2 linked regions of the Rattus norvegicus genome follow. Each later gene encodes a partner of the first gene's protein in a complex. Links are inferred from orthologs where the notes say so. Each region holds a gene or a part of one and is shown on either strand. Other genes may lie near its edges. The genes, in order: Cdhr5 and Myo7b.

Region 1 (3,271 bases):
GGGTGGACCCTTTTCTAGAGCACATCCTAGAACCCCTGTCTGAGTTAAGGGTGACAGTGACTCCAGAGCAACGTGTTAGACTACCTGATATGGGCCCAGTGGTTGTCGGCTGAGAGGTTCCTGGCTTGGGGGTCTGTGTTGAGCCACTAGGTGTGGCTGGCTGAGAAGAGGTGCTGGCCCCTGGAGTGGGGACCATTGGCTGAGAGGTTCCTGGCCTGGGGGTCTGGGTTGAGCTGCCACTAGGTGTGGCTGGCTGAGAAGAGGTGCTAGCCCCTGGAGTGGGGACCATTGGCTGAGAGGTTCCTGGTTTGGGGGTCTGGGTTGAGCTGCCACTAGGTGTGGCTGGCTGAGAAGAGGTGCTAGCCCCTGGAGTGGGGACCATTGGCTGAGAGGTACCTGGTTTGGGGGTCTGTGTTGCATCCCCACCAGGAGTAGCTGTCTGGGGAGAGGTGCTGATTCCAAGAGTAGGGGACCCCCCAGGTACAGTTGGGGCAGAGGTGAGTGGGCTTAGAGTTGTGCCTGCAGGTGGGAATGGGCCAGCACTTCCCCCAGAGCTGGTTGTGGCAGGTCCTTGAGAGGTCCCAGAGGTCGAGGGGGTTTCCAAAGTGGTGTTACTTGAAGGCCCAGTTGTTCCTCCAGCTTCTGGGGGTGTGGGGGACTCTGGTGGTGGCATGTACAGAACTCGGGTTTGCCTCTGTCCCCAGATATGCCTGTCCCAGAGGAGGAGCCACCCTGCCTGGGGATCTGGGGGTGCTCACCTGTGGAGGGCGGCTCTCGCTCTGACACCTGGATCTCCACAATAGTGGTGGCTATGTCTTTAGTCACAGTATTGTTAGCTTCTACCTGGGTCAGGAAAGGGACTTGTTCTCTTGGGTCCCTTTTTACCCCCACACCTTACTCCCCTTATCCCCACTCCACCTCTATGCGGATTGTTCTTTCTGTCTCCATAGGCACAGTGGTCAGCAAGATATCCTTATTCATGATGAATTCTGAGGAGTTGGTGACTTGATATGTGACAGCCGAGTTGAGGTCCTAGATGAGACTCCAGTGAGACCTAGGCCTGGTACTCTATAGTCCATCCCAAGTAGTCTACACAGAGAGAGGAGGCCAGAGGGTCCAGGTATACTTATAGGGTTCGTAGGTAAACAGGAAGGGACTGCATACCGGGAAGCCTAGGTACTGAGCCTGGATCCTCAGGATCTCTGAAGGGAAGGTCTTGTCCTTCACTGCTGTGCCAGCCTCAGAACCCAGTACCACCGTGCCAAAGTACAGGCTCTGAGAGAACTGGAGTGGGTTCCCAGTGACATCTCGAGCCTCCACAACGGCCTGAGTCACTGAGTATCGAGCCATGTCAGCCTGCTCAGCCTGAGGAGTCAGGGGAAGCGGGAGTGGGTATTGGGATTTAAGGCAGCTGGGGCCACAGCTGGGGCCACAGGGGACCCCTCTCTCATCCAGTGCTGGTACCCACCCTGACCACCAGGGTGAAGGTCATGGGGCTGGGGATACTTTTGGCCATCGTGAGGTTGCCATCGTCTTTGTTGATGATAAATGTGTCATCCGTGTTTCCTGGGAGAATTCGTGGTGGAGTTTGGTGTCTGGTCCCTCTGTTGTGGGGTCCAGGTGCTGTGGGGCTAAGCCGTTACTCACCCATCATAATGCTGTAGACGATAGGCTGGTTAATGGCCTGATCTCCGTCCACAGCATAGATGGGACCAGGACTCAAGATGAGAGGGGATGGCTGTAAGAATAGGAACATCTTGAGGTTTAAGAGCCCCAGCTCTTACTCTCTTGTTGTCCCTCAAGATCTGAAACATGGATTGGAGCCTGGAGGGAGGAGCAGTGCCTGCTTGGGACAGAGCTGCAGCCACAGCAGGACTCAGTGGCAACAAGAAGCTAAGAAGGAAATGTTGTAGCCCCAGTGTATGCCGCCTGCCCAGGGACACCACTGGCCTCAGGAGACTCAGCTGACCAAGGACTTAGCAGATCCTTATCAGCATCAGCCCAGCCCCTGAGCTCCTCACATCCCAGCCGACATGTACTCCTCACTGATTTTTGTCTGTATGCCCCACCCCCACCTGGCTGGGAAGGATACTTAATGATTGATTGGTGATTAATTGATTGATTAATTGTTCATTCAGGTTTGTTTCACAAATCACAGAATTGTCCACAAGCCTCTCCAGGAGTGCAGGACGGCGGCCAGATCCCTACCCTGAATATTTTCTGACTTGGCCTTAGATTCAAGTCTGACCCTGGGCCTCCTCACTTCCCATTACCAGTTTGTGTCCTGTGGGGATAACTGTGTGGTACTGGGCCTGAATGCAGAAGTAGTCATCCGTAAAGGAGCACGGCAGGAACCAGGGGGTCCGTAGGTCAGCTGGCAGCACGTTCAAGACCACGGTGGCAGTGGCCGTATGGCTGGGAATTACATTCTCTTCCCTAGTATCCTGTAGTAACAGCCAGCCCCTGATAGGTTAGGCCCAGCGTGGACAGGGCCTACAACATCCAGGACTCAGGAAGATGTGATCTGCCTACCCGTGCCAGCAGCCTGAAGGTCATGTTCGGACTCTTGTAGTAATCCAGAGTCTGGTCCAACTTCAGAGCAGGGGAGTTTATGCCCACCAGGGAGAAGAACTTGCTGGCATTCTGTGGGAAGGGAAGAAGGTTGGACTCTGGAAGGTGGATGAACTGAGGCCTGGAGGCATCAGAAAGGGTGGGGGTTGTCAGCAATGTGTGGGGATGGGGAAGCACTGACGGGGGTCACTTCCTGCAGAGTGTAGACTAGGATGTCATCTTTGTCAGCATCTGTAGCCTTCAGCTCTGTCTCAGGGATGACGATCGTATTCACTCTGGTGTCCTGGGGATGGAGAGGAAGAGGTTGGTCCAGCCATGCTGTAGCTTCTGTATATAGATCTCCCTGATGTTGTCTCCCAGAGACCCCTGTGTCCCCCTGCCTTCCCCATACTCAGACAGCACTGGTTCAGACTGGACTCACCTCCGATACATTATATTCCTTGATTGTAAAGGGGAATTCTGGTGCATTGTCATTGATGTCCAGGACAGCCACAAACACCCTGAACTGTGTCACCTGCAGCAAAGTCACCAGGGTCAGCCCCTGGCTGAGGAGAATGCTCTGATGCCCCCCATCATTCATTCCTTCCTCTTCTTATCTGTTCATTCATTCATTCATCCATTCAGTTAGTCAGTCATTCTTTGTCTTTCATTCCACAGACACTGGTGGCATCAACAATGTGATGGCCTAGGAGCTCCTGTT
Region 2 (4,610 bases), on another chromosome or scaffold:
ATATTCTCCAGTGCCCCACCACTGGGCACTGATGGGCTTTTTTTTTGTTTTTTTTTTTCGGAGCTAGGGACCGAACCCAGGGCCTTGTGCTTCCTAGGTAAGCGCTCTACCACTGAGCTAAATCCCCAGCCCCCACCGATGGGCTCTTAGAACTAGGTAAATGCTTAGAGATGGTTCCTACCTTGTTATAAAGGGATATAACAATGGCTATAGATAAATGGCCAAGGTAAGAGATACAGAGACAGGCTTATGGGAAAGCAGGGCACAGAGCCTCCCTGCCCTCTTTGGCTGCCTCTCCCCAAGCATCTCCTGTGCTCTGTATCTGAAAGCTAATGAAGTCTTATCCAGGAGTTTTACCTTCCCAGAGGTCAGTGAGAGGTCCAACTCTCCACTTAAGTAGTGGTGACTGGTGCCATCCTGAGGCCCTCCGGACTCCAGAACTGGAGCATAATCTCAAGTATCATCAGACAGCTATGAATCACTTCACACACTCCACACACTTAGGGAATGCTCAACTTTTCCAAGTTTTGTGACACAAACTAGGAATAAAGGTATTCAAGAGACACACCTGTGTCCCACTTTGGCTATCCGGGTATTGAGACAAAGGTGCCTGGGAAATAGAACTTTCTCGGGAATCTCGTGCCGGGAGAAGGCTGAAGCCCAGTGCCAGTCAGAAGAGGAACTTGTCTCCCTGAAGAGACTTCACACTTCTGATAATGTGTTTGACCATTTCCAAGATAGATGAGCTGAAACAATGGTGGGTCACTGGTGAGCAGTACCATTCCCTTGACCAGGAGTGCTTAGGCACGGGCACCTCTTGTCCTCTGGTTAAACCTAGACTCCATATGAGAATTCAGAAAGTGGACTTGGGAGGGTCACCGGACCCCTTCGTCCCTCTACACAATGTAGCTCTAATGAATGCAGTGGTTTCAATGATACAAGCTCCCATAGACTCACGGATTCCTTGGCAACCAGAGAATGGCACTATTTAAAAGGATTAGGAAGTGTGGCCTTGTTGGAAGAAGTGTATCACTGGGGATGGGCTTTGAGGTTTCAAAAAGTCCATTCCAAGCCCAGAGTCTCTCTCTCCCTGCTTTTCCTGTTTTTGGTTACCGATTTTTTTTTTCTTTTCTTTTTTTTCGGAGCTGGGGACCGAACCCAGGGCCTTGCGCTTGCTAGGCAAGCGCTCTACCGCTGAGCTAAATCCCCAACCCCTTGGTTACCGATTTTTAAAAACGTGTTTTATTGACGATGGGTGGCTTAGCCTAGCTAGCGTGGGCGGCCAGGACCCACCCAGGTTCTGACCTTATAACTCCAATATCTCTACCGTGTCTCAGCCCTAGCCAGTACTCAGATGCTTCCTCAACCTTGGAACCTCTACCACTCTTCGAAGACACCGAACTGTCTGGACAGTCAGCTGGTTGTCACCCAGGGCTTGGCAAGTGATAAGCAGAGCTTTTTAGGACACAGACTCTGAGGCTCTAGGGAGTGATTATCACAGCTCAGACTGAAGAGCAGACAGTTTCCAGGCTGCTGGCTGGGGCTGCAGGAGGACCTGTGGGAGTGGATATTCCTGAGACAGAGGACAAAGTCCCGTCATAAATTACATATGCCCACAGTGCTTAGCTACTTCCGCTTGGAGCCCTTCCTGTCCTTTCTCTCCCACACTGCCAGGAGCTCTGAACCTGTCTCCCTACTTGGATCTTTCAGGGTGCCCTGGGTGGAGTCAATAGGGTCGCTATACTCTGATCCTGATAAGGTAAGAGAACCCTGGAATACGTGCAAAGAGGGGTTCCAGGCAGGAAGTTGATCTGGAGGTACAGACCTGGGAAACAGGATGGGGCAGGTTTGTGGAGCGGAGGGCTGGAGGTGCCCCTTGAGACTTAGGAAACCCAAAACCTCAGTCCGGCACTTGTAGGGCAGTTGATTCGGGCAGCGGGCTTTCTCCTGGAGGTGAAAAGGGCTATTAAGTCCAATGCTACTGGAGGGTCGGCACCACTCAAGGAAGTAGCCGTCTGCTGCTTCTCCTCTAACCCTGCTGAAAGGCCTCCCATGAAATCCAAGGGACTGAGGACAGCCTAGGTACCATGCTGAGCCCATGTTGTACCAAACCAAGAGACTCTCTGTATTCTCAAAACACTACAGTGATATGGTCTCCACTTTACAGGCAGGAGACTGAGGTCTGGGGCTGGGGTGCCTCCGGAACAAGTGCAGCTCATTCTTGATTTCCACCTAGGCTCATCCACTTCATCTATGGAGGCAGGTTACTGTGTTTAGTCCTGGGCATTGGTTTGAGGCAAAACTGTCACTCATTGTCCTTAGAGCCTTTTCGGGATTCGAGTGTGGGTGTAGGAAGAAGAGATGGCAAAGGAGAGAGATACCCGGCTATAGGCACCCCGGGTGAGGGCACCCCGGCTGTGGGCACCCCGGCTGAGGGCACCCCGGCTGTAGGCACCCCGGCTGTGGGCACCGGGCTGTGGGCTTGATGTGTAATACTCCACTCATGGAGGCGGAAAATGGTCAGTAGGGACCCGAAGTCAGTAGGGACCTGCTGAGGTTTGGTAGCTGGTAGTGTGAGGGCCCCCGCCCTAAGTCTCCTAAGGTGGGTATGCCTGTTTCCTCTTACTAGGCCTCTACTCAGAATCGACTTTATATCTGTGGGTGTCAACTTTGTTCTGATTCATAAGACCCCTGAACTCTGTTTAGGATTGCAGCTTAAAAAAAAAAAAAAGAAAGAAAACCTTGAGGGTCATGCTATGCAGTGAGCACTTCATCGAAGGAGCCATTTTCCCAGCCCTCCCTTGTGCTTGAGCCTCGGTAAAAGCTCATTCAGTCGGTATTGCTTGCCTTTTACGATTTCTACCTCCAGCTCAGGGTCAATTGGCAGCAGGTATGCTAATGTATGCCAGTCTTTTCTCCCACACACCAGTTCCTTTTCTGAGCCCCCAGAACTGTCTCTAGCTCTCAGAACAGAGCTGGAACTCAACCAGGAACCTTGATAAAGCTTTCTGGTAATATCCCACTGACTTAGGCTGAGTCCAGAAGGAATCAACTAAGAGTTCCAGGTTCTGTGACCCAGAACAAAGAACTAAACTATTAATAAAGAAAGAAATATTGAAGCTCTTGAACTAAAATATTCCATAACAACCTCATGGATAATTCTAGAAATAGAGACCATTTGCTAAGAAAGACAAAGACTCTTTCACACAAACACCTGCTTTATTGAAAGAGGAAACAAAATAGTGTCTTTATTAGCTCATATGTATACCAATAATAAAATAGCATTAAAGAAAAACGAGGAAGCAAGATGAGGAGAAAAGCAAGGTAGTGCAACTGGGAAAAGAGATACACACATGCACATGTACACACACACACACACACACACACACACACACACACACAGAGAGAGAGAGAGAGAGAGAGAGAGAGAGAGAGAGAGAGAATTATCATGCAAGTGGAAAGAAAATTATACCATAATGAATTTCATAACAAAAACAGCTGGAGGTGTGAATAGTTGATAGGCTGTTTGGCTAGCATGACATAAGCCCTGGGTTCAGTCTTCCTCGGCACATAAACTGGCTGGCTGTGGTGATGCATGCCTGTAACCCCAGCACTTGTCAGAGGGAAGATCAGAGGTTCAAGGTTATTGTTGGATACAGAGTGAGACTGAGGACAACCTAGGATACATGAGACCCTGTCTCAGAATAGATAGATAGGTGGACAGATGGCTAGAGGGATGGATAGATAGATGGGTGGGTGGATAGATAGATAGATAGATAGATAGATAGATATAGATAGATAGATAGATAGATTATAGATAGATATATGGTTAGATAAATAGATTATAGACATATAGACATAGATAGATAGATAGATAGATAGATAGATAGATAGATAGATAGCTGATAGATAGATGGATAGATTATAGATAGATATATGGTTAGATAAATAGATTATAGACAGACAAAGATAGATAGATAGATAGATAGATAGATAGATAGATAGCTGATAGATAGATGGATAGATTATAGATAGATATATGGTTAGATAAATAGATTATAGACAGACAAAGATAGATAGATAGATAGATAGCTGATAGATAGATGGATAGATTATAGATAGATATATGGTTAGATAAATAGATTATAGACAGACATAGATAGATAGATAGATAGATAGATAGATAGATAGATAGATAGGTAGGTAGATAGAGGAAGGAAAGAAAAGGAAAGCAGGAAGACAGGAAGGAAGGCAGGAAGAAAATAAGCTTGCTCTTGTATGGGAGAAACATAACAGCTTTTGACTTCTTGGGCTCTGGCAGGCCCTTTCTCTAATACTGACCACCCAGAGTGACCTTCTCTGGGCTTGCTTTGGGACCACTGGCTAAGCTGGGTTGGTGCTGAATTCAGGTTAGTCTGGCCTAAATCCCATCGCCTGCTGGCACGTGCTGATGTGCCCTCCCAGCCCCTGTGCTGGGTTGTGGCTCCTGCATCAACCTTTCGTTTCCTTGGGTGGTGACTCCCATGTCCTGGATCCTGGCCCTGGGGCCACATGGGGAATAAGCAATCTTTGCTGACCTAGGATGACTTCTGTGACTTATTCATGTCTTT

Evidence for each region.
Region 2: Cdhr5 (region 1) and Myo7b share a complex: the UniProt entries of both Homo sapiens proteins name them as parts of the IMAC/intermicrovillar adhesion complex. The link is inferred for Rattus norvegicus from reciprocal best matches to the Homo sapiens genes CDHR5 and MYO7B.

What each region holds. Positions count from the first base shown.
Region 1 is NC_086019.1:205,805,090-205,808,360, forward strand, and holds part of Cdhr5 (cadherin-related family member 5 precursor), read right to left. Parts: intron 3,086-3,271; coding exon 2,993-3,085; intron 2,855-2,992; coding exon 2,753-2,854; intron 2,644-2,752; coding exon 2,533-2,643; intron 2,445-2,532; coding exon 2,274-2,444; intron 1,739-2,273; coding exon 1,648-1,738; intron 1,567-1,647; coding exon 1,469-1,566; intron 1,366-1,468; coding exon 1,165-1,365; intron 1,033-1,164; coding exon 919-1,032; intron 844-918; coding exon 759-843; intron 661-758; coding exon 85-660; intron 1-84. UniProt on the Homo sapiens protein: Intermicrovillar adhesion molecule that forms, via its extracellular domain, calcium-dependent heterophilic complexes with CDHR2 on adjacent microvilli. Thereby, controls the packing of microvilli at the apical membrane of epithelial cells.
Region 2 is NC_086036.1:23,941,113-23,945,722, reverse strand, and holds the start of Myo7b (unconventional myosin-VIIb), read left to right. Parts: upstream 1-1,673; 5' UTR 1,674-1,759; intron 1,760-4,610. UniProt on the Homo sapiens protein: Myosins are actin-based motor molecules with ATPase activity. Their highly divergent tails are presumed to bind to membranous compartments, which would be moved relative to actin filaments.